Linked DNA regions of Mytilus edulis. The protein of the gene in region 3 interacts with the protein of the main gene of each other region in a biochemical or structural test. Links are inferred from orthologs where the notes say so. Each region holds a gene or a part of one and is shown on either strand. Other genes may lie near its edges.

What was found.
Region 1: the proteins of uncharacterized monothiol glutaredoxin ycf64-like (region 3) and bolA-like protein 3 form a complex in vitro, tested with the Homo sapiens proteins (4 studies listed by BioGRID and IntAct, with this or other methods). The link is inferred for Mytilus edulis from reciprocal best matches to the Homo sapiens genes GLRX5 and BOLA3.
Region 2: the proteins of uncharacterized monothiol glutaredoxin ycf64-like (region 3) and DNA-binding transcriptional regulator BolA-like form a complex in vitro, tested with the Homo sapiens proteins (2 studies listed by BioGRID). The link is inferred for Mytilus edulis from reciprocal best matches to the Homo sapiens genes GLRX5 and BOLA1.

Annotation. Positions count from the first base shown.
Region 1 is NC_092348.1:96,083,538-96,094,333, reverse strand, and holds the start of bolA-like protein 3, read right to left. Parts: upstream 4,842-10,796; 5' UTR 4,756-4,841; coding exon 4,729-4,755; intron 1,314-4,728; coding exon 1,175-1,313; intron 847-1,174; coding exon 758-846; intron 1-757. Other genes in the region: 2,4-dienoyl-CoA reductase [(3E)-enoyl-CoA-producing], mitochondrial-like, read left to right, coding at 4,883-4,960, 8,805-9,001, 9,932-9,989. UniProt on the Homo sapiens protein: Acts as a mitochondrial iron-sulfur (Fe-S) cluster assembly factor that facilitates (Fe-S) cluster insertion into a subset of mitochondrial proteins. Probably acts together with NFU1.
Region 2 is NC_092352.1:33,326,468-33,337,227, reverse strand, and holds the start of DNA-binding transcriptional regulator BolA-like, read right to left. Parts: upstream 4,014-10,760; 5' UTR 3,921-4,013; coding exon 3,896-3,920; intron 1,496-3,895; coding exon 1,422-1,495; intron 1-1,421. Other genes in the region: histone-arginine methyltransferase METTL23-like, read left to right, coding at 4,041-4,124, 6,293-6,397, 7,300-7,537, 7,843-7,927, 8,646-8,814. UniProt on the Homo sapiens protein: Acts as a mitochondrial iron-sulfur (Fe-S) cluster assembly factor that facilitates (Fe-S) cluster insertion into a subset of mitochondrial proteins. Probably acts together with the monothiol glutaredoxin GLRX5. May protect cells against oxidative stress.
Region 3 is NC_092346.1:25,939,104-25,949,269, reverse strand, and holds uncharacterized monothiol glutaredoxin ycf64-like, read left to right. Parts: upstream 1-6,032; 5' UTR 6,033-6,089; coding exon 6,090-6,357; intron 6,358-7,753; coding exon 7,754-7,923; 3' UTR 7,924-8,966; downstream 8,967-10,166. Other genes in the region: uncharacterized protein, read right to left, coding at 1-111, 963-1,045, 5,872-5,968.

The DNA.
Region 1 (10,796 bases), on a different chromosome or scaffold from region 3:
TAAATATTGAACTGTGAATAAAGCATTGGTTGTAGAACATTTTGTGGTTAATTCAACTACAATAATGGACAATGGGAGATAACTTAAATGATTAAAGATGACTTTAACAATGACATCATTTATATTTTAAGAAGAGGTATTAGATTCCTGCACCTTGCAAAAGTTATGTAATTTTCTTGACAGATGTAGCATTATTTTGTGACTTGAATATCTGAGCATATATTACATTGATAAATTTTCTAGAAAAGTTCATGGATAAGATGTATAGAATTTTACGATCAATGCACTATATTTTGTGTATTAAAAAGGTAGTGATATAAATCCTTGGAAGATTTAGATATCAAGTCAGTAGCATAAGGTTTTGATAGCATTTCAAACAATCAACGAAAATCCATTTTGGAATACATTGTACATCATACATCAACAATTACTGAATAAGAGGCTCCTGACTTGAGACTACGAGAGATTGTGAAATTTTATGCAACTGTCATCATGGTCATACAAGTGAGAGGTTTAGCTAGCTATAAAACCAGGTTTAATTCACCATTTCCTACTTCAGAAAGTGTCTGTACCAAGTCAGGAATATGACAGTTGTTGATTCATTTGATGTGTTTGAGGGACTTTCTGTTTTGAATTTTCCTCAGAGTTCAGTATTTTTGTGATTTTACTATTGTTTCGCCTGATTAACCCCTCAAACTAATGTTTTGATAGATACAAACTAGAGCTATACAAGGTTACTATAACAGATATTCATTACCTCTTTCACCATTCTGTGCTGATTCAATGTTCTCTGTCCAGAGAATTCTGCTGATTCTACATAAACTTTATACATGGACCCACATCCTCCTAAAATATAGGGAAAAAAATACTATTTGATATCATACTAGTAATACAGAGTTTTTTATATTTAGTTTTAACTAATTTCTATAACATTTTCTTTTTAACCTTTGTTATGCCTTATCAAAATGATTGTTGCATAGCCTCTATACTATAGACACCTGACCAGCTGGTATGGGCTTTGCTCATTGTTGAAGGCAGTACGGTGACCTATAGTTGTTAATGTCTGTGTCATTTTGATCTCTTGTGGACAGTTGTCTCATTGGCAATCATACCACATCTTCTTTTTTATATTGTATAAAATCTGAAGGACAGAACAAAAGAAAAGAAATTTTACCTGATATATCTAAAGCTTGTATGTCTGAAGCCTTGGGAAATTTCTCCTTGAGTACATTAACAATTTTCTGTTCTCCTTCAGTTAAAGTGCTTGCCTCTGTACATCTATGTCTGAGTGTAGATCTACATAGAGTTGTCAACTATAATATGAATAAATGTAGATAGAGAGAGTTGTCAACTATAACATAAATAGATGTAGATAGAGAGAGTTGTCAACTAAAACATAAATACATAAAGACCTACATATATATAGTTGTCAACTATAACATAAATAAATGTAGATAGAGAGAGTTGTCAACTATAACATAAATAGATGTAGATAGAGAGAGTTGTCAACTATAACATAAATAGAGGTAGATAAAGAGAGTTGTCAACTATAACATAAATAGATGTAGATAGAGAGAGTTGTCAACTAAAACATAAATACATAAATACCTACATATACAATGTATATAGTTGTCAACTAAAACATAAATACATAAAGACCTACATATATATAGTTGTCAACTAAAACATAAATACATGTAGATCAGAGGTGGATTTAGGGAGAACAAAATTTGGTTGATTATATAGGGAATCACTGAAGCGTGACGGGAGCGGGGCCCCTCTTAGGCAGCCAGCGGGCCCCTACTTATAAAAATTTCTAGATCTGCCACTGTAGATATAGAGAATCAAATAAAGGTAAACAACATCTGATGTAATGTTTTGTTCCGTGACATTTATTAAACTAAACTTCTGCCTGCTTTAGACTTTTTTCTTTTCCAAGCTTTTTGATCTGCTTCCATCAATGTCTTTGTGAAAACAACTTTTAGAGAGTAGTTTTCCAATATTTATACTTAGAATGGGAACCTCAAGGAAACCATCTAACAAAACTGTAAAGTACTTATCATTGCTTATACATGTAGCAACCAAGGATAAAGTTAATGAATTTTAAAGCGGTTTTCAATGAAAGAAGATCAAATGGGTAAATTCACAGAGAAATCAGAGAATACATGTAGAAATATCAAAATATTCATTAACTATAATATATTGTAACAGAAGGTCCTTTAAAATATTAATACTTCTAATGCATTTGAATTAGCATTCTGGAATCATATTTCCACTACAACAATGTCAAATATTACTGTATTTGTTCTAAATGGAATAAACAGAATCAAATATGATTTATTTGTATAAATTGACAATGACATTGTTTGTTCCCTATTCACGAATGTGACCTACCAATAGGACTATTTTAGTATTTACCGGGATTGTAATTACATTAGCAACATGTGTAACGTTTGTGGGTCATCGTAAATTCCCCTTTTTCTATTTTTAGATACTATATATACTATAGTTGTCTGGTTACTTTTTCACGGGGATCGTTTTTCTCGTGCTTGAAACTCAATGTCCAGACTTGAATATTTAAACCTCATCAGGGCAGTATTTCTTTAGATTGGGGAAAACTTCCGTACTGGTAAGTTGTACTTTAAATTTCATTTTATTTTGTATTTTGATGTTTGACCAATCTAATTAAAAACCGATCTCTCATCGCTCCTGTTTCTGATATGTCACGTGGGAGATCTAACGAAACCCACTTTGAGGTCACATGTGAGTGACCTCGTAGGTGTGTCTTTTTCGACCAATGAAATTGAGTCTTCCACGATCTTGGAAGTTTAACGTAAGGCAAAGGGATGTAACTCATTTTATTTACGACGAAATCGTCAGTCAAAATAATTCATAAACTTTTTTGATTGGCTTATTAATAGGTCGTCAACTCATTTGCATATCTTTATAAATTCATGACTTTTAGTTCACTCACATGTGACCTCAAAGCCGGTTTCGTTAGATCTCCCACGCGACATATCAGAAACAGGAGCGATGAGAGATCGGTTTTTAATTAGATTGATGTTTGACTTAAACATGTTAAATATTTATTTCTTCTCATTTGATATATTTCTTTTCCGTCTTGTATTCAAACAGTTCTAAAAATATCAAATTACGTTTCTGTTCCAGAATAAATAAAGGGAATTGTACACTAGCTAGATACTTTATGATTTCGGGTTTATAAAGAGATGGAGTTCACTTTGATAGCGATATTTAGACAGATGGTTAATCCGAGGGGTATTTTGGAGTAACAGTCGTCAATCTACGGAATTGTTCGTGCCTTACTCTGAAATAGAACTTTGTATTATCGCATGTTTTAGTTTTGGATCTTCAACTGGTCAATGATATTGAAAAACGTTTTCAGACATTGCTCTGGTTGGATTGAAAATTAAATGGGTAGAGAAATGTGATGTTTTTTTACCGGATCGATTTTTGTTCCCTAGTCATAGAATAATGAGGTTCATGATCTAGTCTAAAAAAGTCAGTGGGAACCAGTGGTATAATTATTTTGTCTCGGAAGGTTGACGTCACAACTTGATTGATTGGATAATATTTTAGTTAAGGATGACTAGTGTACAGCTCTCAATATTTTAAGTAAACGGACACCTCAAAATTCTAGTATCATATTATTTTATTCAATTAGATAGCACTAAGGCCAAACGCTTCTTTGAATTGGTTAACTGGTAATGGGTATTTTTCACCGCATCATTTGTTTAAAAGGGGAAGTTCGAAAGTGAATTGAAATTCTGAATTGATAATTTCACATGGAGATACCGCGATATTTATGTACTTATATTGTCTTTGTCTATTAAATATGAAACTGTTTTATGAATTTTGGTCATTTGTTATATGAGCAAATGCTTTGCTTGGCAAATCATCATCACTGGTCATTTTTAGGTTTCTTATACCTGTCATTTATGAATTTACTGTTTCGTTGTATTGTCAGTATGCTGTCAGAAGTCCTGGAGCGAAAGCACAGGCCGAACCCTCTCTACCAGTAACGTAACCGGCTGAGCTAGCGGGGTATAATGTCATGAGACAGATTACAAATGAAAAATATGTTTACACACAGAAAACCCATTTACGTTGCACATGACAGGTGCCACATGTGGAGAAGGCTCTGCTTTTACAAATGTTTTAAATATACCCTTGTGGAACACCCGAGATCACCCTCAGTTTTTGGTGGGGTTCGTGTTCAGTTTTTTTTCTATTTCGTATTTTGTGTTCTTTTATTTGTCAGTTTGTCTTTAGGTCCATGTAAGGGGTCCTAAGTATCTGTTGACAATTGGAGTGAAAATATTAATAAAATATGGAAAACAGAATATTTTTAAAATCGGATTATCATGATTATACTGTAGAATAAAATATTATTTTTCTTTATAAATTTAACAATCAGGTGGCAAATAAACGAGGTACCAATTTGACTAGGTGCGAAAAGTCCACTTAGGTCCGGGTGGCGATTAAACCAAATCCCGATTTAACTAGGTGCCGAAAAATCCTCTAAGTGTCGATTGGTCCAGGTTCCGATTTAACATGTTTAAACAGGGGTCGAAGTGACTAGAATTCGTTATGAAACGTTCGAAACCACATTGTGTCCTCTTCGTGAGCACTTTATCTGGGTTTATCCAAGGTTTAATTTTTTAGAGAACGTTTCTGATAGGTTTCTCTCACTATTTTCAGGGCTTTTACCTGTGTAAGACGAAATATTCGAAACATTTCACGTTCACCTCTAAACAAATCTTCCGAATTGATTAACGGACTGGTACCTACTAACCAATCCACTTCCCTTTACTCTAAATGCACTTTCTGGTTTCAGGGCTAATTCGGAAATCCTTGGTAGAAAATGGCAGCGCCCAGTCGAAGTGCAAGATTTTGTTTAAATTTTAAACTTGACTCGGTATTATGGAACAAAGTTTGCAAGGTGAAAAAGTTTATTTTAACTCTTTGACACATATTTTATATTTTAGATTCTTTTTACCGTTAAAATGAATAATTAAAGCATTCACAGGGCTTTCATTGTCCCAGATTTTGACCCTTTTCGTATGCTAAATTTTAAAAAAATCTTAGTATCTTATATACATTGACATTGTACTATACAAATCCTTTGTTTAAACAATTTGACAAAAAAAAAACACACATCCTATCTAGAGCCTTGTATGTTTACCAGGTTAGGTGGGTGGCTGAGAACCATCCACTTTTTTTTTTATAGACACATATTTATCTATCCCAGGGGTTAAAAAATCCACTAGCCCAACGCCCGGGACTAGATCATTTATGCCTCGGGCAATTAAAATGTGTAACCCGATATGCCCGACGGACTAGTAACAAAAAAATCTTGACGTTTTCAAAAGTGGAAAATCCCTTCATTACTATTTTATGTTAGCCAATCCGATTCAATTAATAAGTCATTAGGGATTCCAAGAATTTGAACTGGTTTGTACAGGTCCTGTTGTACATATTTTAAAAACAGAACAAATAACTCTCGGTGGCCCGGTATCATGTGTTGATTGCAATTCTCGTACTTTAAATATCGATTTCTCATACCATGGCCTGGGGTATTGTACATTGCTTATGCCGAGATTTTCAATTAACGGTATTTGGGGATATGATGTATTGATCGGTACTGACCTATCTTGTCGCAAAGCTCTTGAGCACGAAACCATGCAACAAATTATTTCTTAATATTTTAGTACGGGAACCCCAGGAACTTCGTCAGTTTCAAAACGAAAAACGGTAGATGAAGGGAGTAACGAGGCTGAAAATTCATCCCCAAAAAATGCTAAATACGATAGGGAAAAGCTGCGGGAAAAAAAAAGAGTGTCCAGGACAGCAGGGCTGCCAAGTCGCACACACCCTATGAACTTCATCAGTTTCAAAACAAAAAATGGTAGATGGAGGGGATAACGAGACTGAAAAATCATCCCCCAAAAATGCAAAATACGACCGGGAAAAGTGGGAAAAAAATTATATTGTCCAAGACAGCAAACCTGCCAAGTCTTTAGGTCGAGACTCACACATTTTCATGCTTATTTGGCGGCATTTTCCTTTGTTTTTTCTCTTTGATCTTTACAATTGGCCAAAAAATCACGCATTTACTTCCTGAGAATTTGGCAGAACTGGGATACAATGATTCCCCTCGAAGGTTGGCTGTTGCTGATGAAAAAAACAGACGATGCTCTGTGAATATTACCGTTAGTTGCCCAAAGCATGCCAATAAAAAGTCTGCTTTGAATGTGGGAACAACTAAGTTAGGTTAAGCACCAACAATAAATAGCAATTCAACAAAAAATATTAAATACAGTGTATAATGTCTCTTTCAAAACAAAGGACACCCACTTTGTTTTATGCTGCAAACTCTTGATTTTTAAGGCATACTAGGGCTAGCAGGTCAGTTTTGATGGACTAGCAGTTCTTCCAACAGGGCTAGAAAAAACCTGCTGCCATAAGTCCTGGGCTAGTTAGCTGTAACAAAATTTTTTAACCCCTGTATCCTCAAATTTATCCTCAATCTTAAGTTATAAGACTTATTTAAAGACATGTTGGCACGAATTGTCCCAATGTGCAGGTTTTCTCTTTGGTGCGTTTTTCTCTTGTGTATTTTCTTCTCTGTGCTTTAAACTAGTATGTGTTGGTTAAGATTGGGATTGAGGAACAGCAGTATCAAATCAATAATTGAAACACCAATCTAGAGACGTTTTATTGCTATTTTGCCTTAGTCATTGTTAGTCCAAGTAGTAAGGCATCAAAGCAAAAATTTAAATTAGCTTCCTAAACATGCTAAAAGTCAGAATTATTTAGACTAATTTGCTAGTCCAAATAATTGTGACGTCTTGAAATGCTACTGGCTAAGCATTCACTATTATTCGTTTGATACCAATTTTTTCGTGGATTTCGTAGGAACAGGTGAACTATGAAATTAAATTTTCTATAGCCTTTTATTTAGACTTCGGCAAAACCATGAAATTAAATATTCACAAACATGTAAGATTTCCTTAATCCACAAAAATTTGTACCCACAAAAATAAATGAATCCGCAGTGACAGTATTATATATTTTTTTCTTTTACACCTAATAGAGCAATGTCACAGGACAGTGATATTGTTGACTTTTTTCAAAACTACTTCTACCCTTTTTTATTGGGAAAATATGCGTCATTTTTATCAAATTGGGAAATTTATCATAAACCATGAATTTGACTGGAACTTCAATTTGAGGACCCTCTTTCAAGAGGTAAACCCTCATTTGAAATAAAAACTCTTATTGTCAGTGATCAGACATGAATAGACACTCAAATCTGTACATATAGTCATTCTAGGCAAGAAAAATGTTTAAATGAGTGTTTTTCAGTTTGAATTCATGCACAATGGCTACTGAGACTGCACTGTTTGGGAAAAATGTTGTCTTTTTGGGAATAATTTTAAGCCATTTTTTTTTCAAATTGGGATTTTTCACCAGGGGAAAAAGCCTTTATTCTCCAGTAATTTAAGGCAAACAATATCACTGCAGGAAAGCGTAAAGCAAAAAATTTAAATAGCCTGTTATTAGAGGTCATAATTATTTGGAATAATTTTGCCTATGAACCTTTTGATGTATAAGTTGGCAACAACTTGTGAGCTCTTTGTTTCTAGAGACAATATCTCAAGAGAGAAGCAATATGAAAAACATGAAAAACTACCACCAAAAAAAGATAAAAAAAAAATACTTAAAATAGCTTTTTCATACTTGAGCACATTACATGCAGACATATGCTTAACATCTTGAAAAGCATTATGTATTGACCTCTTTAAACCATGGCTTCAGATCTGGATATTCCTGGAATCCAGGTCAGTTTGCCCTACTCCAATCAACTTTTTTTTTTAATTTTCTCTTATTGTTGTCTAGTTGCATAATGTTTATAAATATTATTTGAACAGAATGTTTGTTGAAAATTCCTGTGAAATCCAACTTGCCATCACAATCCATGACATGCTCCAGTCATACGACAAGGCAAACTAGGTAGACATTGCTATTCTGGATCTTTCGAAGGCATTTAACACTGTACCTGTAAAAAGACATTGATAAATTTTATGGAGTTTTTTTACTTTTTTTTTCTTTTTTTTAACTTTAAGTTTTGCTTTTTAGTATTTTTAGTACATGTAATGCAAAAACCTCGTATCTAAGGTTTTGATAATTTTACATCAGGCAGTAAAACCTGAAATCTTTTTATAGATTATTTAGAATTAAATATGTATGTTCCACTGTACAATGCTGTATGCAAAAATATCTGATCTTCTAACCAATCAATTACCAAAACGAGCAAAAATTTCTGCACCTATATTGTATTTTCAAAGCTTTTCATTATTTTTAAGCTAATATATTAGCTTTGAGAACCTAAAATTGATAAAACTGTACCTGTTATAATGTCAGCTGCCGTGGAAAGTGTTTTTCTTTGGAGATACGATATTTTCGCACAACAAAATGTCTCACCAATCCGACAACACTTTTTCGTCACATGTCAGAATTTGGATTAATGATTGGTTAGAAGATCAGATATTTTCGCATACAGTGGAACATACATATTTAATCCTAAATAATCGATAAAAAGATTTCCGCAGAAATTGAGATATGAGGTTTTTGCATAACAGCGACGATTTGCTCCATCCACAGAAGAAAAACCACAATTGATACAAATGTATATTCAGTACAATTAGCTATAGTCTGAATTAGAATTACAATTAGAAATGGAATTTTTTTCATTCTCAGTTTAATTTTGTTTACTTCTTTAGATAAAGAAATTCTCCACAACACCTGTCAGCCATGTTAAAGAGCATTCCAAAATGTTCCCTGCCCAGATGGGAAAGATGTTACCCAATGGAACCTTTGATGGGAAGATAGCCTTTATAACTGGTGGAGGAACAGGACTGGGGAAAGGAATGGCTACCATGTTGTCTAAACTAGGCGCTCAAGTGGTTATATCAAGCAGGTCGCTTTCATGTTTATGTATATGTATTTAAAAGTTTATATCTACTTTGGATACATTGATTGTGGTTCAGGTATCAGAAGATTTCAGCAGAATTTTATTTAAAAGGGGCATTGTGGGCCTTATATATTAATGAGATGCTATTTTAATTTACATGGGTTTTAAATCAAATGTTAAATTTGTTGAACCTCAATTTGCAAGTGTAACAGGGATATGCATGGGTTAATAGAAAAGGGGAGATAATTCAAATTGAATGTTAAATTTTACATTTTGTACTTGAACAATGAAATTTTGTGAAATGCCCACATATCTCCCTCTGCTGTTTTAATTGCTTTAAAACCTTTTTATTATGCCCCACCTACGATAGAATGGCATCAATTTTACAGTCATTGCATGCGTCCAACATAAGACTCAAATTTTGTTTTAAAGTAGATTAAAATTGTGGTTTAATGTACATGAAGTAGTTTGTGTTCTCATCAACTTGAATCTTAAAAAAATATACATTATGTATATGCAAATTAGGGTTTTGTCCTAGAATTCACAGTGTACTCAACTTGGAAATGTAATAGAATAAAATTTGGTTTATGTTAGTTTGTGGTAACATCAACTTGAAACTAAGTACACAATTTCACTGTCACAAGTCATTATTAAGTAAACTGTCTAAATATATGCAAAATTAGGGTTTTGACTAAGATTAAAGGTTTACTGTCTGAACAATAAAATGTGAAAGTGTGAGCATGGCATTGTTGTTTTGCCTGATAAAGAAACATCTACAATAAGATATGTCACATGTATAATAGTCATATTTGTGAAAGCATTAAACATGTTAAATAACATTTTATCGCATTTCTATTTCTCTATTTCTATTTCTCTATTTCTATTTCTCTATTTCTATTTCTCTATTTCTATTTCTTTATTTCTATTTCTCTTCAGGAAAATGGATGTATTAGAGAAAACAGCATCTGAAATTACCTCAGAAACAGGAAACAAGGTACAAATATTGTGTGATGATAAGTGATTACATATGACATTCTCTTTGTACATTAATTTTATTAGGGTGGGCTGTCTATAATATATTAGGACTCTTACTGTTTCAAAGGGCACTCTCTTTCATTATATCCAAAACATTTTTTTATTCATGTAGAGGAGGGGGCATTAAGTTTTACCTGTGTCGTCTGTGCATACGTCCCAAACAGTTCTCTAACTTCAGTTAGCCACAACCAAATGTTATGAATCTTATACTAAATGCTTATAACCACAAAAAACAAAGATCATGTTTGAATTTGGGTGGTGTCTCTTTGTATTGTTTTAGAGTTATGTCCCTTTACAAAGGGAAAAATGTTGTACTTTTTGTTTCTCTTCTCTAAAGTTAGCCTCAACCAAATTTTATGAAACTTATGGTACACAATGTCTATTACTCAGATCAAGTTCAAATTGTGGTGCCGTCACTTTTTCCATTCTTGAGTTATGTCCCTTTATAAGGTTATATGCAAGTGGGGGCATCATCTGTGTCAATTGCCAGGACACATTCCCCATTTATTTTATATACCTTGGAGATTGATATTTTTCCATACTTTTGAGAGACATTAAAATTAGGTACTAAACCTTTTACACCTATTGATTTAAGGACTTTTGGACCTTACATCTGCTGAAAATTTTAAAAGTTTATTGTCCAGGTCGTACCAAAGCCTCTGAAATAAGAGACACCATGGCCATGAAATAACTTGTATTTTACATTTATTGTTGGTATTGAGGCTCTTTAGGCATAAGACTGTCTGAAGAAATCATTTATACATGT
Region 2 (10,760 bases), on a different chromosome or scaffold from region 3:
GACGTCACAAGTTGTACTCATATTAATTTTCAAAAAAAAAATCAAAGAAAATGGGTAAATTTCCATTGATTATCGGACAGGAAACATAGAGCGCATACATCGCAACAAAGATCTTTTGAAATAATGTTTATGAAGACATTTTACATGTTTTAATTGAATATTTAGCTTGTCGACGGCTGCGCTCTATGTTTCCTTGTCCTAAATTTGGTTGAAATCCAGCCGATTTTGCCAAATTTCACAAAAATCTCTTATCTTGACCTATTTGTGATGTAAAAATCAACGTGTTAGAATTAAACTTTGACAAAAATAGTTCTATTTAACTTTCTCTCATGTCTTTAAGTCAACTTAAATATTTTTTGTCTTGTCACATTGAACTTTATAATCGGGGCCAAATATGGCCCTTACCGAACTTACTCCTTTGTGTTGTTTAAGTAACAGAACACTCCAATTGTACACACAAATACATTAATAATATAATTTGTGTTTCTTTTTCTTATCAGAAAAATTGAAATGATATATTTTAACTGTTGGTCATCTTATAATTTTCATCATGAGTCTCTGTGACCTATACGTTTTTTGCCATCAGGGATATTGCCATCTACATCTAATGGTTTGTTGGAGTATTTCCGTTTATTCATTTTCCTTGAGAGCTTTAACTGAGGTGGAAAGCTGTATCAATGGCAATAACATGAACTCCTTTTCTTTTAATATGACTTCACAATTATTAATCATTTTATGATTTTCAGTGCCGGCTTACATTGAGTTAATCAGTTAGAAACTAAACATTTAAACAGCCATGCATAAAAAGGGAATTTTGAATTGTTCCATTAAAACAAGTACTTAGATAAAATGTCATGAATAATTATAATAAAATGTTAACAATAAAAATTCCAAAAGGAACAACTAATTTCAAGAACAAAATAAAGCATGTAAAATTGTATATGGTTAACTGATTCTGAAACAGAAAAACCTTTAAAATGTTTAGAAAGAATGAAATATCTACAACATAAAACAAGAGAATACATTAACCATTAACAACAAAAACCTCAAAATAACACATTTACAAAGACATAAAAAACATTAAAATATCACACATAGTCCAAATACCCTGCTTGGTATAGGTAACAATTTGAAGAGGTTATTATAAACAAGAAGATGTGGGTGGTATCAGTGCACGGATTAGAAGTTCCTTCATAATATAGGTTCAAAGTGGAAGAAATTTTCTGTATTATTATTTCCAATGGAATAAATATAATAGTATTTGTTTCTTACAGAATAAGGGGTATAGAATATTTGTTTCAACAGGAACAGATATTATGACATTGTACACTAAAAAGTTTCCAGGAGAAATTCTGTTAGTCAGAACAAATATACCCTTTGTTTTACAACATGTCAACTGTTTTTTTATAACAAAAAGTTACCTGCACAGCAGAATCAGCCATTTGTGACATACGACAGAAATTCAACTTGTAATTCTGCGACAACCTCCTTATTCCTACAAAAAAGGAAAAATATAGTACACTGGTATAGGTATCACTGTAGTGATGTGGAATGTTAAATGTGAATATGGCAAACAAGAACCCACAAAACATCTGAATAAGTTAACAATATAATTGATTGATTTGCTTTGACATGAATGAATAGTATAGCATTTTTCCCTTTATACTTCAATTATTATCAAAATAAAATCAGGATGATTACTAACAAATCTAGCTTAATCTTGCTACATGCTAATGAGTCTGTTCAAAATCAGAAATTCTGTCAGTGTTTACATGGCTATTATTTCATCATGGTTTTTTTTCTAATTGAGAGTTAGGTGTTTTTGTCATATTTTTTTTCATCTCTAATCAAATTATTCACAACAAGACTAATAACCTTTTAGAACAGATTGTACTGTGTAGGTGCTCATATGTTAATTTGGGTGTGAACTGGAGTCATGTTACTAGGATGTTTATATCAGAGCTGAGATGATACTTAATTTAAAAAATTGTTGGATAGTTGTTAAATTGTTAGGCTGTATTGATGGGGTTTTTTTTCCAGATCTCCATGTATTCACATAGCGATCCATGTCATCACATGACAGAAGTTAAGTTGTCACAGAAAATATTATATTAGATGTCCTTAAAAACTACATTAGTTTTGGCTAAAATGAATTATTCACAAGTATGAACTTATGAGAAAATAGCTACATAGTATTTTAAAAATATTACTATTAGAACTTCCTTTCTGGTAGACTTTGAATACTTAGTGTCCAGTGGGAAATAAAGCATGCAAACAGGATGTTATAAGACAAGGCAAAACTTAACAATTCAAAACCTGCAATTATCATGATGAGCATTATCTGAGATGAACAATAAATATTATAACAAACTTATTTCAAGATTAAACTGGTTAGAAAAAAAGGATTCATATTTTAGTGAAAAGTGTTAAAGCATCAAATAATAATTTGACAAACTGGAGTTATGCATTGGAAGACATCCTTTATCTTTTATTACATGATAGAATTATATTGGTCACAAGTCGTAACAAAACAAAATAGGTAAATTTACTGAACATTCCTTATTCAATTTCGATTATCTTGAGTTATCTCCCCTTATTTTACCAAGTTAAATAAAAAATTATTCAGTATTAGTGAAAACAGATGTAATACAATAATTAAAGTCATTTAAAATGAGTGACTGGTGAACAGTAATGTTAATCAAATTCTTGAGCAAATGTATGCATACATCATAAACTTAGTCTTCTGTGCACAATTTCATCATTTTTACACATCCATATAGTATAATCGTTAAAAATAATTTCTCTTGGTCTGTTATGATGTGAAAAGATGGCAGCTAAATACTTTGTTGTGTTTTGAAGACGTAGTTTGCCTATTGTCACCTTTATAGTAAAGGTAAACAATTAACAAAGAAGCATGGATATTGAGCATATGTATAACATGAACAATAAGAAATAGTTTATTTCAATGACAGATTTATGCGTATTACAATCACTGGATCACTTTTACAAAAAAGGTCACACTGAGTTCACTGCATACATGATACAGAAAACATATCTGTGAATTGTTAACTGGAAGCAAGCAATTTAAAAAATAGTAAATTTATTCTAAATTTGGATGAACTATAGGATTTTCTTGAGAAAAAAGCAAATATACAGTACATAAGTTTTTTTTAATAAAAACTAGCCATTTAGTTATATTAAAAAAACATATGAATATTTTTTTTCAATTTGAAGTAACATAATTTTTCTTCTGACATCTATTATACAAAAGCTTACAATTGAATTGCATTCCTTTGACGACTTTATTTAGGTTTTTATTCAGATGTTTATCCTGTTTATATTTATGACACTGGTACAACTTTTAAGGGGATGCTCGGTCAAATTTATGCTTTTTGTTTTTCATTCAATTTTACTGGGAAATATTTTTTTGTTATTAAACTACTTTTTACATTCATCCATCTTCCATTACATTTCACAATGCTTATACAAAATATCTGACGCCACAATGGAAAAGAAATTGTTGTACAATAAAATTGAGAATGGAAACGGGGAATGTGTCAAAGAGACAACAACCCGACCAAATAAAAAACAACAGCATGTTGACGTCAATAGTTCAAGCAGTACAGATTCTCTGGTCAGCCGTGAATATCAATAAGGTGTATCATAGCAAGCTATTCATAATTAAGAACTAGAAGGAAAAGAAAGAAACTCTTCCTAAGTTGTCAGCAAATGTGCGATTTATATTTGATTTGTTTATTTTCTGTATTTTAATTTCACTTTTCAATTTTGATTGTTTGTTTTGACAAAATGTTAACTTTTGGGGGAATTTGAGGGGGTGATGGGAGGGAAGGGGTTAATTATATTGGTAGATCTTTTTCATAGTCTTATAGTTTACCTTTCAGCATTTTAAAAATTAACATTCCACATTTCCTTCACTGTCATGTCTCTTTTGACAATGACGACCTATAATTTGACCTGGTATGGGTTTAAAAGACACTATTTTATTGGCTCATACAAATGTCATTATCTAGAACGTCAGCATGTCTTCTTCCAAGAGGCAGAAAATTGAAAAATTCTTCAAATTCAGTAGTGATTCAGAAAATTGTACAGTTTGTATTCCTGAGGTATCATTTCTGTGTTCTGTATTATTTGATTTGCATACCATTTTCTATATAACAATTCTGCATAATTTAGCACCCCCCTTTTTCACTTATCTATTTTATTTTACTTTTAGCACCACAGTGACCAGTATTGATAGGCTTATGAATACAATTTTACATTGTTATGCCCCACCTACGATAGTAGAGGGGCATTATGTTTTCTGGTCTGTGCGTCCGTTCGTTCGTTCGTCCGTCCGTCCGTTCGTTCGTTCGTCCGTTCGTTCGTTCGTCCGTCTGTCCCGCTTCAGGTTAAAGTTTTTGGTCGAGGTAGTTTTTGATGAAGTTGAAGTCCAATCGACTTCAAACTTGGTACACATGTTCCCTATGATATGATCTTTCTAATTTTAATGCCAATTAGAGATTTTACCCCAATTTCACGGTCCACTGAACATAGAAAATGATAGTGCGAGTGGGGCATTCGTGTACTGAGGACACATTCTTGTTAATATATTATTAAAACAAGAAACATATAGAGTGGGGTGCTCATTTTCGCCATATCTTTCCATGTTTTCTTCAGTTTATGTTCAGGTCCTTAAATTATGTTTTTGAAGTATACTGATATTTCTATATATGAAGATAACTTCAAATGCAAAATATTCTTAGCTTCAAAACGTGTTTGTTTTGAGAAAAATCATTTGAAATGTTGGATTAAAGGGTGTTTGAAATTTCCTGATGTTTTGTCAACGGGAAACACATATTCGCCGTTGTTACACATCTATATTAAAACCAAATAACTGCAGCTTTAAACAATATGTATCAAATAAATTTCATTATAGACAAATAGCAGAAATTTGAAAGGTGTAAAAAAAACTGAAATTTAGAGCAATCAGTCAAAGAATTACTAAAGAGATACCTCTTTGAAATGTTTTTTTTTTCATTCAGGAAATTGGCTGAAAATCGTTGTCCGTTTTTCGGTTCTCTGTGGTAAGTGCCGAAATGTGGTCTCATTTTCAAAAATTATCATATTTGTTATAAAAATATAATTTACCGGCATATTTCTTCAATTTCAACCATCCTTTGAAGTTTTTACACCTCAAAATCATAAAACGGCCAAATTGTGTCCACGGCAAATATGAGCGCCCTACTCTACATAAATGATTTTTTTTTATTTGATATTTATGTTTGATAACTATTATGATATACATTTGAAGGAAACAAGATAAAGACATGTTTTAAATCAAAGTTGCTAGCTCAAAAAAATCTGCAAATATAATTTAAGCAAAAAAAACTGCAATACCATTTTCTTTGTAGTGACATGAGTGAAGAAATGTATAATTAGTTAAGCAAAAATTCTTTTATTGGAATTAGCACATGTAATGATTTAGCTTACATGGTTTAGCCTTACTTCAATGTACTTGGTATCAATTGGGATATTGGTTATAAATACTTGTCAAATTTTTCTTTCATCAGAGTTAATAAAAAAATGATTGATGTCCTGGTGTGTACTATGAAATTTGCAATAAGGATAACAAAAAAGTTGACATCCCTTGCTATTCTAACATTGGTATTCATGTTATTTTGGGTTCTTGAATTCTTGGTTTAAATCCCCAGGTCTTGTGTGTTTTGGGAGTCAACATGATCGATATGATTCTCTTGAAAATAATTTTTCCTGACATAATTGAAAGTGCAGCAAAATGATGAAAATACAAGATTTCAATTGCAGATTGTCTTGGGTCATTCACAATTGTGAAGCTCGTAGCATCCCTCTGCTGTAAAATCATCTCTGCAGGGTCAGTTCAAGTCTCTTCAAAATTTGTGTTATAAAGTTCACCACACTTTGCTATTGTATCATCTGTTACAGTAATTATAATTCACAGATTATCAACCCTCCCATGTAAGCATGTTCTTGAATATACATAATTATAGAGTTCAATTGAAGGTCTCATACACATATTGTCATTCTGTAGTCCGACCAGCAAACCATGTACTAACTTTTTTATAAATTAGTTTTAGAAACTTGATTGTATTATCATGATTATAAAGCAAATATATTACAATTTGTGTGTACATTTTATTTTTGGCTACCCACCCAACTGGCAAACCCTCATAAATTTTGTATATATATGTGAGAGACAAAGTCACATTCACATTTTAATAGAAATATAGCACATACCCGGTAATTTTTATTTTAGGTTCTTGATGGTAACTATGGGATGTATGTGTGGCCATGTTCACCAGTATTAGCACAGTATATATGGTACCACAGAGCATCACTCAAAGGCAAAACTATACTTGAGGTCAATACATTAGATGTGTTCCTTTTGGGGATTGTTTTCTGAAGAAAAAAAATCTTTGTTATCACAATTGCAGTTACCCCAAATGATTTGAAATGAAACATAAAACAAACATGTATCAAATGCTACCTTGGGCTGATAACAGAAGATATGAACTACTTAAAAAGATATGTTGTTAAAAGTTTTTTAACAATACATGCATATGAGAAGATATGCTTAGAAGAAATATGGAGCAAAATCCTCTTTATCAAAACAATATTCTCAGGAAGTATATTATTATATATATTTATCTGTTCATGCTTTTGTACCATGTTTCAAGATGGAAAATATTCCTGAAGTGGAATTTTTTTGCACAAAAAAAAACCAACAAAAATATCCTTCAGGTGACATAATCAAATCATTTGAGCTAAGATTAAATTGACGTTTTCTGAAAGCATCTGAAGTTTCATCTGAATTTTAAAAAATGTGATTGATAATGCATTTTTTTAAGTGCCTCTCTACTTAAAATCATACAAAAGATGATTAATGGTTAGAAACCGTACACAAATTTAGCTCAGATATTTTGTTAAGAATAAAGATAATTTTTGAAAAACTTATTCTGAAATTTATACTTTTAGCTTTTATCATAGGTGGTAGAAATGAATGAAATGAGATATATTAAAAGGGAGATAACTTCATTATATGCAGTGTATCCCATTGTCTTTCTGTTTTTATCAGCAGACAGTTTTCAGGAAAATATTTAAACTTTTATTACCATGAAGACATGGATAACTGTTGGTGATTAAATAATTCTATCATTGAAAAAAACAAAACAATTAAATATTTAATTCAATTTGCTATTTAGTTAACGCTGTTAAGAATTTAATTAATATTAAGTTGCACATTTGTTTTTTTATGGATTACAGATTGGTGCTGGAACTTCTCTTCCTGGGATAGTAGCAGCCAAATGTGAAGCCACAGTCATTCTCAGTGATAGTTCTGAATATCCACAATGCCTTGCGAATTGTGCTGCATCATGTGAAGCAAATAATCTGTCCAATATACCAGTGGTTGGTATAAAATGGGGACAATTCACACCAGAATTACTCAATCTTCAACCTGTTGACATTATCTTAGGATCTGACTGTTTCTTTGATACTAAAGGTTAGAAATCTAGTTGGAAAATGGTATTTATAGTGTAATTTGGGGTTATATTGACACTAACATTAATTACAAAGTGATGTAAAAATATGATTGAATTTAAGATATATATGTAAAATATTTATTTCAAGAAAAATTAGAGAATTTCAAAAAAGTTTTTGTTATCAGTTAAAGTATGCATACACATTCCTGTTTAGTTTTTGTCTATCTTTCTGACAAATAAAATTGTGAGTAGCAAAACTTTGAAAACAGTGCTGATGTCTTGTGATATTAATAGTAATTGACATAATTTGTTTTATTGTTTCCAGACTTTGAAGACATCATAGTTACGGTAGCATTTATAATGAAGAAAAGACCAAGTACAGAGTTTTGGTGTACTTATCAAGAAAGAAGGTAACCAGTGTTTTACTCTGTGAAAAAGTCAAAACACTAGGAAAATAAGAAAATAAGTTGTTGGCTGCTCTACTAGATCTTCTTGGAAAAACAGTAAAAGCTGCTAACATGGATAAAAATTAACAACATCAAGGAAACAGATAAAAAAAAACATGTGGCTGCATAATGGAATTCACTTCACAATTCAATTTGATAATAAAATTGTATTTTATATTTGGAAAAGGATATTATATTTATCTACAATCCTTGCAAAAATTAAGTAAATTAAGGGTAAGAGGTGCTCAGAGAACATTATTAGCACATCTCAATCTATTTTGATGAAGGGAAGCCATGGTCAGTTGACAAAATATTCATATAAGTATTTTTGTCTGAAGACAGGAGCTTTAAACCCATTGGTTTATTTTGGTTGCTGTCTGTTGTAATTGTTTATTTTCCTAATGTTAAAAGTTTGAATAAGGTCATGGTTTTCTCTTTTAAATTGTTTAACTTTTTTGTGTCTACCTTTTACTTACTTAAACTATATGGTATAGGATTTGCTCATTGATGAAGGCTGTTCAACTCTTATACATTGGTCTTTTGTGGATAGTTGTCTCATTGGCAATCATACCACAAGACAACAACTTTTTTTACATTACACTATATTGAATCATTTAATGTAATTTAAAGTTGTATTTTGAGTAAATTTGTCAATGAAGTATATATATATTTATGATTACAGTTCTTCTAGAAGTATTGAGTACCTACTGATGAAATGGGGATTAGAGAGCACAGAGATAGATTTAGAAACATTTGAAGGAGACTCACCAACCCTGGCAGGATCAACATTACCTGGGAATCATACCATTCACATGTTCATTATGAAAAAGAAAAAATCAACTGACAGCTAGATTTATAAAACTTCATGTATAATGGACCTTTTCAGAAATGCTAGTTCCATTATCATAAATTATGTTGCACAGTCCTAGTGTCCTGATAAATTTTGTCAGGGCCTTCCAGTAGCATTTAGAATAAGATGTGTCCACAATGCAACACCATTTTGTATGGTCCTATAATACTGCATACTGCTTACACATTACATATTTGGAAGAGGGAATTTTTATATGTGGTTATACAAAATGAATAACCAAAAGATGTCGGAAATTAGATTACCAGTAATTGATATTAAGTTCAAAATATGTGACGAGTACACTTCTCGTACTTTGAAAAAAGGAGCCACTGATAATGTGATGTTCAGAGCACAGAGTAAGTTGACAATATCAACATGATGAAATGATGACTCAAAGAAGTTTGAATTCCCGTTGACAGGTAGAAAAATTTACTGATATTTTTAAGATCTGTTTTAAACAAAGGAGAAGGTTCACGAAGGGTTAAAATTGGCGCTAAATTTTTTATATTTTATAAATCGGGCCAAAAAATTACAAATTTCAAATTGAAATACTAGTGATAATACTATTACCACTAAGACAAAAATATATTTTCCAGCACTTTCCTTTACAATTTATGAAGCTATGACCCCTTAAATAAACATTGTTTGTATTTAAAGGTCAATTTTGGTACTTTTTTCCAATAATTTTAATTGTTTTTGGCCTAATTAAACTTGGCAACCATCCACGATCCAAAAAAGCTTTTATATTGATGAATAATATATCAAAATGGAATCTTTTGGTTACAACACATTTTTGATCATAGGTGGTGGCCAATGTGTTTCCATTTAGCTTTTAGGTCTGAAAATAGCACAAAATCATATTTTAACAAAATGTCCAAAATCAGCTTATTTTGTGGAATATTATGTACTTTTATTAAAAGAACTGATGTATTTAAAATTAACACTTTTGAAATGGACCCATTTACGAACCAAATTGTGACCTTTTTGATGTTATATGATAAAGTTGATATTTTAGGCCATTTTGTGTCAATAGTGAACCTTGTCCTTTGTAACCCTAGAAGTTGTACCGAAAACATATGTTGTTTTGAAATGGTTTTCATTGATGGCAAAACCTATATACTGTTATAAGATTTCGATTAACTTAAGCTTCATTCATTTAAATTCAATATTGAAGTGCTCCACTTCCTGATGTCAAATCATTATCAATTTACATTTCAAAACTATTTGTATTCATCAAAGAATAAAACAATTATGTCTGTTTATGCCTATGATTATGCTTCAGAAAACTCTCGCTTTCTGTGTGTAACATTATCACCTTATCATACCATGTAAAACTTACATATCTTTTACTCTGTTACCAATATGAACGAATAATAAAGAATAATCTCTTGTTGATATTCTGAAAATTTATAATCATAAAAGATGAAATCTAAGAACTTTTTAGTTCAGTTTCTACATAAAGAAACAGTTTTTTATATGTCTTCTATGTAAACTGTTTCTTTTGTCCTGAACCTGCATGGTCTTCGAAATTAGCACAGGACAGACAGGACATGTCTTGTAAAAATATATTCAGTTCTGTTGAAGAAAGAAATGAAGATTCATTAATTCCGTCCTGTAAATGCCAAGCCCCAATTTCTTTGACTGCATGCATGAAATATTTGTCAATGGACATTAAGCAATAATAATCAATTAAAGACTAACAACTTCAGAAAAAATAATGTTGTATTTTTTGAAGTGATTGCTGATTATGCATTATTAAAGATATGATTATGAGTTAACATTCCAAACTTTACCTAAGTTTTTCAATGTATTAAAATGTAGGGTATGCAATATGATTTTTTTTTTTTTTTTTCATTTTCAGGTACAAGAAAAAGAAGAAGAGCAGATGAGAAAAGAATGACAATGATGGTTTTAAACAGAATCTTTGGCAAATGTGCAATAAAAAAT
Region 3 (10,166 bases):
TGTAATATTATGTGTTGCTGCTAAGTCCACTGCTGTTTTACCATAGGAGTTGTGGATACCAGGATCACTTCCAGATGACAATAAGGTCCTAACTACATCTATCTTTCCTAGCTGTAATTCAAATTTAAATGTATTTTGTAACTTGACATGATCTCATTAAACATTTGTTTTAAAAATGAACTTGTAGTCTGACAAAATCTTTTTCAACTCTTATTCTCTAGACACAAGCATACTTTTCTCATGATTTGTTTTGGAAGAGTCAGATTTTAAATCAAAATTCCTTTATCTTATCTTTTTTTTATAAATCATATATATAATGCAAATTTGTGACTAGAAAAATATCAGCCATTTAGATTAGAGAATTTTGTTTATCCTTATTTTTTCTTCCATCTTGAAATATCATGTAAAAGTTTCTAGTCCTAGAGCTTGTACTTATTGCTTGTTGAAAAGGGCATATCTTGTTTTGATTAATTATTTTGTCATAGATCAGGCTGTTGGTTTTATGACTATATGGCAAAGTTTTGTTTCTGATAGTTAAAGACTGTACTGTGACCTATAGTTTCTCGTATTCACTTCAATTGGACGATGTTGTAAGGTATTTTTTTCATTGACAATCATAGATGATTTTCTTATTTCATATTTAATGGCAAATAATCATTTCAGAAATCATCTGTTATTTCACAATATAATTCCCTAGAAACAGCCCTAAGCTTGATTACTTGATTACTTTGACAACATTACACGAATAATTCATCAATCCAAAACTTTTTTCTAAGTCAAACCCTTAAAGGTTACATGATAATACAATGTAATAATATCGGAGAAGTAAGATTTACATAGTGTTGTCATGAAACAGAAGTTCTAAGTGGACAGATATTATTGTATTGTTTATATCAAAGGTTCCAGGGGAACTTCTGTTAGAAGAAACAAATATACCTTGACAGCATTACTAAATAAATTACCTTTGAAGCAACATGAAGTAATGTGCCATCGTCATGGTAACAATTGTTCAGTACATTTGATATCACCTGATGATGGTCATCATCTAAAATAAATTGTAAATAATAATTATATATAAATCATAAATATATAATAAGTTTTAAACTTTCCATTCATGTTCTTAATTGAAAATTTATGAAAATGATAATTACATCCTCAAATTTAAAAAAAAAATCAAATACCTAATTTTTGCTACATAAATTGAAAATTCACAGAAATTTATCAAATATTATTCAACATGAAGGCAAGACAAAAAATGAAAAATCCAATGATATTGACAAATCTTGAGTTGTTTTTCATGAATGAGTTATACCAGATGACCCGAGGACAGAAATAAATGGTTAAGGTTCATCATAACATTTCTTCAAATATGGCTGTATATTTTACACCCTGAATTATACTCTGAGTATAGAAAAACCTGTGAAACATTTTAAGGCATGGCTGGACCACGATGAATAAAATTTAAGTACATTTTTCAAAATATAAAAAAACTGAACAGATTTTTATGTGTATTTTAATTGTTCCTGCAAAAAAAAATAAAAAGTTGGGAAGGGTTCGACAACTTACAGAAAAGAGCGACGATTTACAGAAAAGAACCAAAAAGGACCAAAAAGGACCAAAAAGAACCGAAAAGGACCGAAAAGAACCGAAAAGGAGATCAACGTTTTTTGTAATCGAAGAAAATTAGCAAATTGCAAATTATTTAAGTCTATTAAAAATGAAAGGATATTTTTGACAAAAGTTTATCATTAGGTTTTTAAACCTTATACTGCGACAGGACTGCATATAATAACTTACTGTACATGTGAAAAATTATAGGTAGGGTCGGATGCCTAACTTATGGAATAGAAAACATAGAACAGACAAGAACATATAAGATATTTATTCATTACTGTCAAACAATCGTTCTACGTTAATTGTATTTATAAGCTAAGTGTCATTATTTTGTCCAATCTCTGTCGCTAATTCATTTCGAACATTACAACAGTTCCTTATATATATTTTTTTGGAATGTGTATATATATTCAATTCATCAGTGAATATATAATAACACGGACATTCGTACAATCAGACAAAAAACAAAATAAAACAAAATATCGTGACGGAAAACTTTACAGTAGTTATTGAATAAATACGAATATTTCGTTCTTTTTTTTGTGTTTGTGTATTACATGAGGGAGGTAATGCCCTTTACCGTCAGGCGTCAAACGGTCATTTTCGGCTACCGTAAGCGTCAAATGTATAATTTTTTACCGTGATTCGTCCGATGTCTTAAATAATTATCGTTACCGTTATTTTTGGGTAAAAATAGCGTGATTTGTCAAATTCAGCTGATTTTTTTATCGTCTAAAAGAAAGTGTACATGTTATCGTCATTCACTAAAAATTATCGTTAACGTCTTTGGTTAGAATTTTTACCATTATACGTCATTAAGGTACCCCCATTCCTACCCTGATCTTACATGTTAAATGAAAACACATTAATTGTTACTTTGACACATTAAACCTGTCAAGGATTTGAATTCTTCAAGGAAAAGTCCCGCTATCTCCATGCACAAGTTTCTCAATAGATACATATACTAGCACAGGCCAACATTTATTTTATCACCATCTGACATCGTTTCGCTAATGTACATAGCTGTTTTAAATGGTTTATAAGATAAAATTATTAGAAATCAACAGGCCATTAACTTTTTCACACCCTTTAATCTATACCTATAAAAGAGTAAACAGTTATCAATTATACCGAAAGCGGGTGCGCTATTCATTTATCTATATTTCCTGAAATATGAAATGAAATGACTGTGATGTGCACAACATTTATAATATGTAGATAATGATGTATTTTTTTTTATTGATTTATCTCCTTTTATTCACATGTAGCCCAACGTTTTATACCGTAAATTGAATTAAGAAATTGAAAGGAACCAGGAACATCTTAAAGTCTGCCATGGTTTACATGTAGCAGGAATTGAAATTTTATTCAAATGTTTTTTACAATTCTATTTTCTAAAGCAAGAAAATGACGCTTTGATTTTTTTATTAAATATTTAAATGCCTTAATCTGATTCAGGGAAATCTAACTTTTTTTGTAAGTCTACATATCCCTATAAACGTTCAAAATAAATTTGAACTATACATTCCTTTATTACGAGGGGGAAAAATTGGTGTATATATATTAAATAATAATTTATATGTATGCTCTTTTCGGTTCTTTTCTGTAAATCGTCGCTCTTTTCTGTAAATTGTTGGACCGGTTGGGAAAGATGTTTCAGAACTACCCTCTACATATTGTAATAATAAATAGAGTGAATTGTATTGATAAACATTAAATATATAGACGATACAGGACAATAGACATATTACATGTACATGAAGATGTCTGCAAACAATAGGCGATTAAAAATGGTAGACAGAATCAATTGAAATGCAAGTGTTTATATCTTTTTAACCATCTAAAAGACTATGCAGACTAGAAAAAAATACACATAAAACTTGAGGAAGGTTTCAATTTTTCTGAAGTATAAATTGCATATAAATTTTACGTATTTGGGTTCATCCATCATGTCCATGCCATAATACTTTCTCGGATGCACAGGTTAAATTTTGTGGTGAAAACGCTGCCTTTATCATCAATTACTTTTTGGACAATTGGAAGGTACAAATGTAGCTGTAACCTGGGAACATTAAATCTTTAAACAAGAAATTAATCTGATACGCTTTTCAGTATAAAATTGATAAAATTTCTGACTCCCAGACTTGGCGAAATTGATGGATTTTGGAAGCGTCCGACTGAATAACTATCGGAACTGCTCAATAAATTAACCACATAATTCTAATCGTATATAAATTGTACAAGTTTTATCATAAAGTAGATATACTTTGTCATATAAAATGACCAAAATTAGTTTGATTTATTTGATGTGAAGTGTTTAATAATGGTTTGTAAATTTGGGAATGCAATCCAAGCAATTTTATTTTGACCCTGTATGCTCTCTTTACCATTCTGTGATTAAATGAATGTGATTTTAACAAATTTGAAGTGACAGAATACAAGTTTGATACACTGCAATCACTATCAAACTAGTTTGAAATACATTTTATTGATATTATCAGAAATTATTAGGATAATAGCGAGTATGTTTTAACACATGTCTGATTCAGTATTGTATCTTTATTAACTATGACCTGACAATAAAATCGGCTGCAAATTATTTGGTAGTGTCAAGTCCGGTCAATATATATATGTTCCTGCTGTGACCTAATTACATACATTTAAGCATTGTGACTGACATATCGGCTTTGAATCCTCATCAGTGTTCCAGCTAGGTTTTCAAAAGGGCAGGGTGCCAATCCTGAAAAAGGGCATTTAACGCGCGATATGATAATATGAAAAGGGCATATTTTAATAAAAGATGTTAATCAAACATTTGTGTTTATTCGTTGAATCACAGGTTATACAAGAACAACATCTTTAGCCCATATAGAACTCTATCTTTCTACTTTTAAGGCTGAAAAACTTGTCAAGCAGCTTGTCACACAAGTTTTTTTATCATTGCTTGGCACAGTTGAACTTTATATGCAGTATGTTTTGAAAGGAGATCAGTTTCATACTGTTTCTATGGTCTACCACATTTTACCAGTTTCACCTTTCTTCCCCTGCTGTGCTTGATGGCAATACTGCACAAAACAGCTGTGCTCAGTAAATTCACAATTTTAGGATATAAAGCAACAGTGAAAAATAGTATCAAAAATAAAGAATACAGAAAAAAGATGACCAAGGCACCCTACCAACACTGCTACTAAGACCCTCTTTAACTTTTCCCATAACTCAAAATAAATACCTAAACATATATATTCTTAAGCAAGAAGTACATGTTTGGAGACACATTTTAGAATATGTAAATGGGTTACTCAATGCTAGGAAAAAAATCAGATTGAGTTATCTTTCTATATTCGGGTGTGCTCCTTCTTTGGAGGATTATAAACAGTACGTAAATATGATGTAAATATGATCACAATATGGTGGCCGATTTTGTTATTTTCGTATCAAAAATGAAGGCAGTCAATGACAAATACGTCTGAATTTTCTGTTTATTTTACAGAAAACAAGTAAAACAATGTCTTCAACCAGTTTATAATACACCTTATCGCTAATCCCGGCTGACCCGGCCGCTTGAACTTTTGACGTCAACAACAATCACTTTTCCATTGTGGCGTCAGATATTTTGTTTTATGACGTCAACATTTTACGGGAACCTGTGTGATATCCAGCAATGGCGGACAAATAGTGATAAGGTGTATGGTTTTCCAACTTTCTGTCATTACGTTTCTTCCATGAAACTACGGTAAACATCACAAATTGTGCCCAAGTTGTTGTATGCACATTTCTTCAAAGATAATTGCCGACTGACCGATTCTATTTGAACGAATTAATGTTGATGATCATTAATGACCCATCCGATAAACGGATTACCTATAACAACAGATTATGACACCAGTTGTAACCATAGATTAGCTGGGGGTGGTAAACAAAGTCATAATCTTTTCCCCAGGTAAAATTTAGTAATTAGCGTATCATATCAATACGCAAATTAATATGCAATCGATCTTCAAAAAAAGGCAGGGCGCCCTGGAAACTGTAAAAAGGGCACAGGGCGCCACTCCAAAAAGGGCGGGCGCCGCGCCCTCTGAAAACGGCCTAGCTGGAACACTGCTCATTAACTCAGAGCAAAAAATGTAGCTTTCCAAGTTAGGAAACACAAATTACAATTGGACCTATAAAAAAAGTTTGTTATAATTTTTAGAACAATTTTGGTGCTATGTTAGAACTTTTGAATCCACCCTCTGACGATTATCATAACATGCATACTTTGCTCTATTGTTGATATAAAAGCTCGTAAAATATCTGTTCTGTCATTTTCTACAGCTATGTGAAGTTGTTGAATTATTTCTAACTTTTCTGTCATGTTTTCGTGTACACCGGAACCGCTTTCATGGACTCTCGGGATTTATCTTTGAAATCTTTGTAGGGTGCCGAAAGAATAAAAAGAACTTGCTAAAATTAGTTTTCCTTGCATAAGCTTGAAGATGAATAGACTACTACGATCTACAGTGTCCTTGTTGAATACTGAGAACAGGTCAACATATTGTCGTCTTCTTGCATATTATTCACAAAATGCTGGAAGCAAAGAACACATTGACGGTCTTGTCAAAGACAAAAAAGTTGTTTTATTCATGAAGGGCACCCCTGATCAGCCCATGTGTGGCTTTAGCAGATTGGCAGTGCAGTGTCTAAATATGCATGGTGTTGAATTTAAAGCACATAATGTTCTTCAAGACGAAAGTTTGAGACAAGGTATATTTGAAAATACGAAAATATATGACCAAAAACAACTTTAAACAAGAAATATTTTGTTAATTTATGTTTTGACAAAAATTATTCACATAAATTAAAATTTATTAAAAAAACATTTACCAGGCATACGCCGGAAAGTAAACATCAGTACGTTTATGGTTTTCTGTAACAAAAGAAGAAGAAGAAGAAGAAGATTTTAACAATAATTTAGAATTTTTGTATTACATTCTTATGCAACAATTAAAATTGATAAAAAAATAAAGTAAGTTATTCAAGGACCAGTAGTGTTTTACTACGCTTTACTACGACAACAATCGAAATCTCACACTACTTCATCTCGTACTAATGTTAACTGATACCAGGACAGAAGGATAGAGTCAAATAAAACAACACTTTAGCTTGGTCATGTTGGTTCGCATTTTTACAACTATTTTTATTAACACAAAGTCAGAGTGACAGAAAGATTGAAATACCTCTTTATCTTGAAGTTTCATTAAAAAAAAATCTCACAAAAGCAATGATTCTAAACAGAACTTCATTCTATACATTTTATAAGAAAATAGAGAAATATGATTTGAGGGTTCCTAGGAATTTATTCTTGTAATGCTCTGTGTTAACGGCCATACCTTGACCTATAATGGGTAACTTTTATAAATTGTTATTTTTGATTGAGAGTTGTTTCATTGGCACTCATACCACATCTTCCTACATCTTTAAATATAATATACAGAAAAAAAAGATTGCTCTAATACATACATGTATGACATATATACATGTATAATACTTCAGATGCAGTATTACATGTATAATGAATAAGAATGCTGAACTGCTTTCGAAATAATATCCAAAGTACATGTATATAAACATGTATAATATAAATACATTTGTACCTTATATATACTGCTCTACCACAAAAGACATGAAAGCAGCAAAAATCCGTTCTTTTAGATGTGAAAGTTAAAGAAGTCTGGTATCTTAACATACAGAGAAACCTATAATTATCATAGTCCGTCATGTTACTCAAGTATACAGTTTTACAATGTGTATGGGTTTTGTGGCAATGTCTTTGATCTTTTGGCAAACTTTAAATAATTACCATGATCATCACTTTGATTTTCTTTGGTTTTAATTTTTATCATGCTTATGTTAGGACAGACCCACTCATCTTTATTTGTCAGATTATACATGTAGCTCTTTTGACCTTACCCAACAATAATATCAAAGATCTTTTCTAGTCATAAAAAAGATATGCAGGAACATATGAGTTAGTTGTTAAAAAAAGACTAGTTAAGTTGTCTCAGAAAGTCTGTGATTGGTTGCCAGGACATCAAACTAACATAACTATATGCAAAATGATATGTATGGTTTTAAACTTTTAATCTTTTTTTTATTCCAGGAATAAAAGAATACAGTAACTGGCCAACCATACCCCAGGTTTATTTAAATGGTGAATTCATAGGAGGTTCTGATGTGTTGGTGGAGATGCACAAAAATGGGGAACTTGTGGATGAATTACAGAAAATTGGAATCCGATCGGCTTTGTTAGATCATAAAGACAGTTCTTGAAATCCTAATGGCTGACATTGAGAGAACAAAAAATGATATTTAGACAGCTTTGTACTCATCACCTTGTTTTTTTCATAGTTTAACTATTGTGAATGTATCATAAAACTACAATGCAATGTTTTGTTAGTATCATGAATGTTAAACATTTAAAAAAAAAAAGAAAAAAAAATGTAGAATGGAAAATTTGAAATATTGCAGTAAACAAGAATAATTTTAAAGATTTGGATGTCACATTGAAAGACATTACTGTTATAAAAAAAAATCTGACAGAAGTATTTTCCTGTCTCTGTCATGTCTGTGGTAATATTATTAAGAATGCAATGTGAATTGTTTTTCACACTCAGTTTTTTATTGTTGATTGCCATATTAGTTATAAAGCATGTGTCCTTTAAATCTTTCCTTTTTGCTTAATAAACAAGGAGACATATATCTTGTAAAAGTGTTTAATCTTTTTCTAATGTGAAATCATTCAAAATGTCTTGGTTTTTTTTCTAGTATCGATATTCTTATTTTAATACACTGTATACTTCATTTGTTTTCTTTTCTATAATGGAAATCTACAAACAAATTTACTTCATAAGATCATAATGTAAAGTAATGTTTATGCAGTTACTGTGTGATATTTACTTCTAAAAACAGCAGTCAATACTGAATATTCAAGAGTAGGAGAACTATACCTTCTCAGAAGTTTCCATGGGAGATAATTTAAAATAATTATTTTTTTTGGAGATATTAATCTTATCTCCCTTTATTTGAGCTTAAAATCTAAAAATCATTGATCTTTTTTGAGATATTAATCTTATCTCTTTTAATTTGAGCTTAAAGAATATTTCCCTTAAGTATTTTAGAGATTAAATCAAAGAAAACTTTGAATAATTCAAATTATGCACAATTTAAGATAAAATGATTCAAAAACTTAAATTTGGACAATTTTTAGCAATTTAAAAATTAATACTATTCATCATCTTTTGCATGGCATTTAGTGTAACAATCTCTATAGATATTTTTTGAATTATTATCAATGAAGTGGAATTAAAGCCTAATAGGATTGTAAATATAACGGGAAGGATTGTGCCTGATGTTCATATGATGAAATCATAATCTTTCAGTCAGTTTAATTGAAGTCTGGAGTTGGCATGTCAGTTAACTGCTAGTAGTCTGTTGTTATTTATGTATTATTGTCATTTTGTTTATTTTCTTTGGTTACATCTTCTGACATCAGACTCGGACTTCTCTTAAACTGAATTTTAATGTGCAAATTGTTATGCGTTTACTTTCTACATTGGCTAGAGGTATAGGGGGAGGGTTGAGATCTCACAAACATGTTTAACCCCGCCGCATTTTTGCGCCTGTCCCAAGTCAGGAGCCCCTGGCCTTTGTTAGTCTTGTATTATTTTAATTTTAGTTTCTTGTGTACAATTTGGAAATTAGTATGGCGTTCATTATCACTGAACTAGTATATATTTGTTTAGGGGCCAGTTGAAGGACGCCTCCGGGTGCGGGAATTTCTCGCTACATTGAAGACCTGTTGGTGACCTTCTGTTGTTGTTTTTTTCTATGGTCGGGTTGTTGTCTCTTTGGCACATTCCCCATTTCCATTCTCAATTTTATAAAAAGAAGATGTGGTCTGATTGCCAATGAGACAACTCTCAAAAAGAGACTAAGTTACGGTTTTCAACAATGAGTATACACATTCTGCATAGTCAGCTATAAAGGGCAGAAATAACAAATGTAAAACAATACAAACGAGAAAACTGACAGCCTCATTTCTGAACAAATTAACATACGAAAAACAAATATGTAACACAGCAACAAACAACAAACACTGAATTACAAGCTCTTGATTCAGGACAGGCATAAGGCAGGGTTAAACTAGTTTTTTGACGCCAAACCCCTAACATGGGACAGTGGTGTAATGGTACAGCATAAGGACAAACAATGCAAAACAAGAAACATAAAACAAATATGAAAAAACAGCAATAAAAAAACCCAATAACCAATCAATTACAGACTCTTGACTTGGGACAGGCACTTATACATTGTTGTCAGATTAAGCTAGTTTGAAGGCATCAACCCTCCTGGAAACTGGGACATTGGGGTTACAGTACAGCATAAGACAAGCTATAATTAATGTTGAAAAAGACTCAAATCACTAGATGGATACAAAAACAAAACACAGAGTGGACGTGACATTTGTACATCGCAACAGCAAAGAGACACCAAGTACAGAACTGGGAATACTC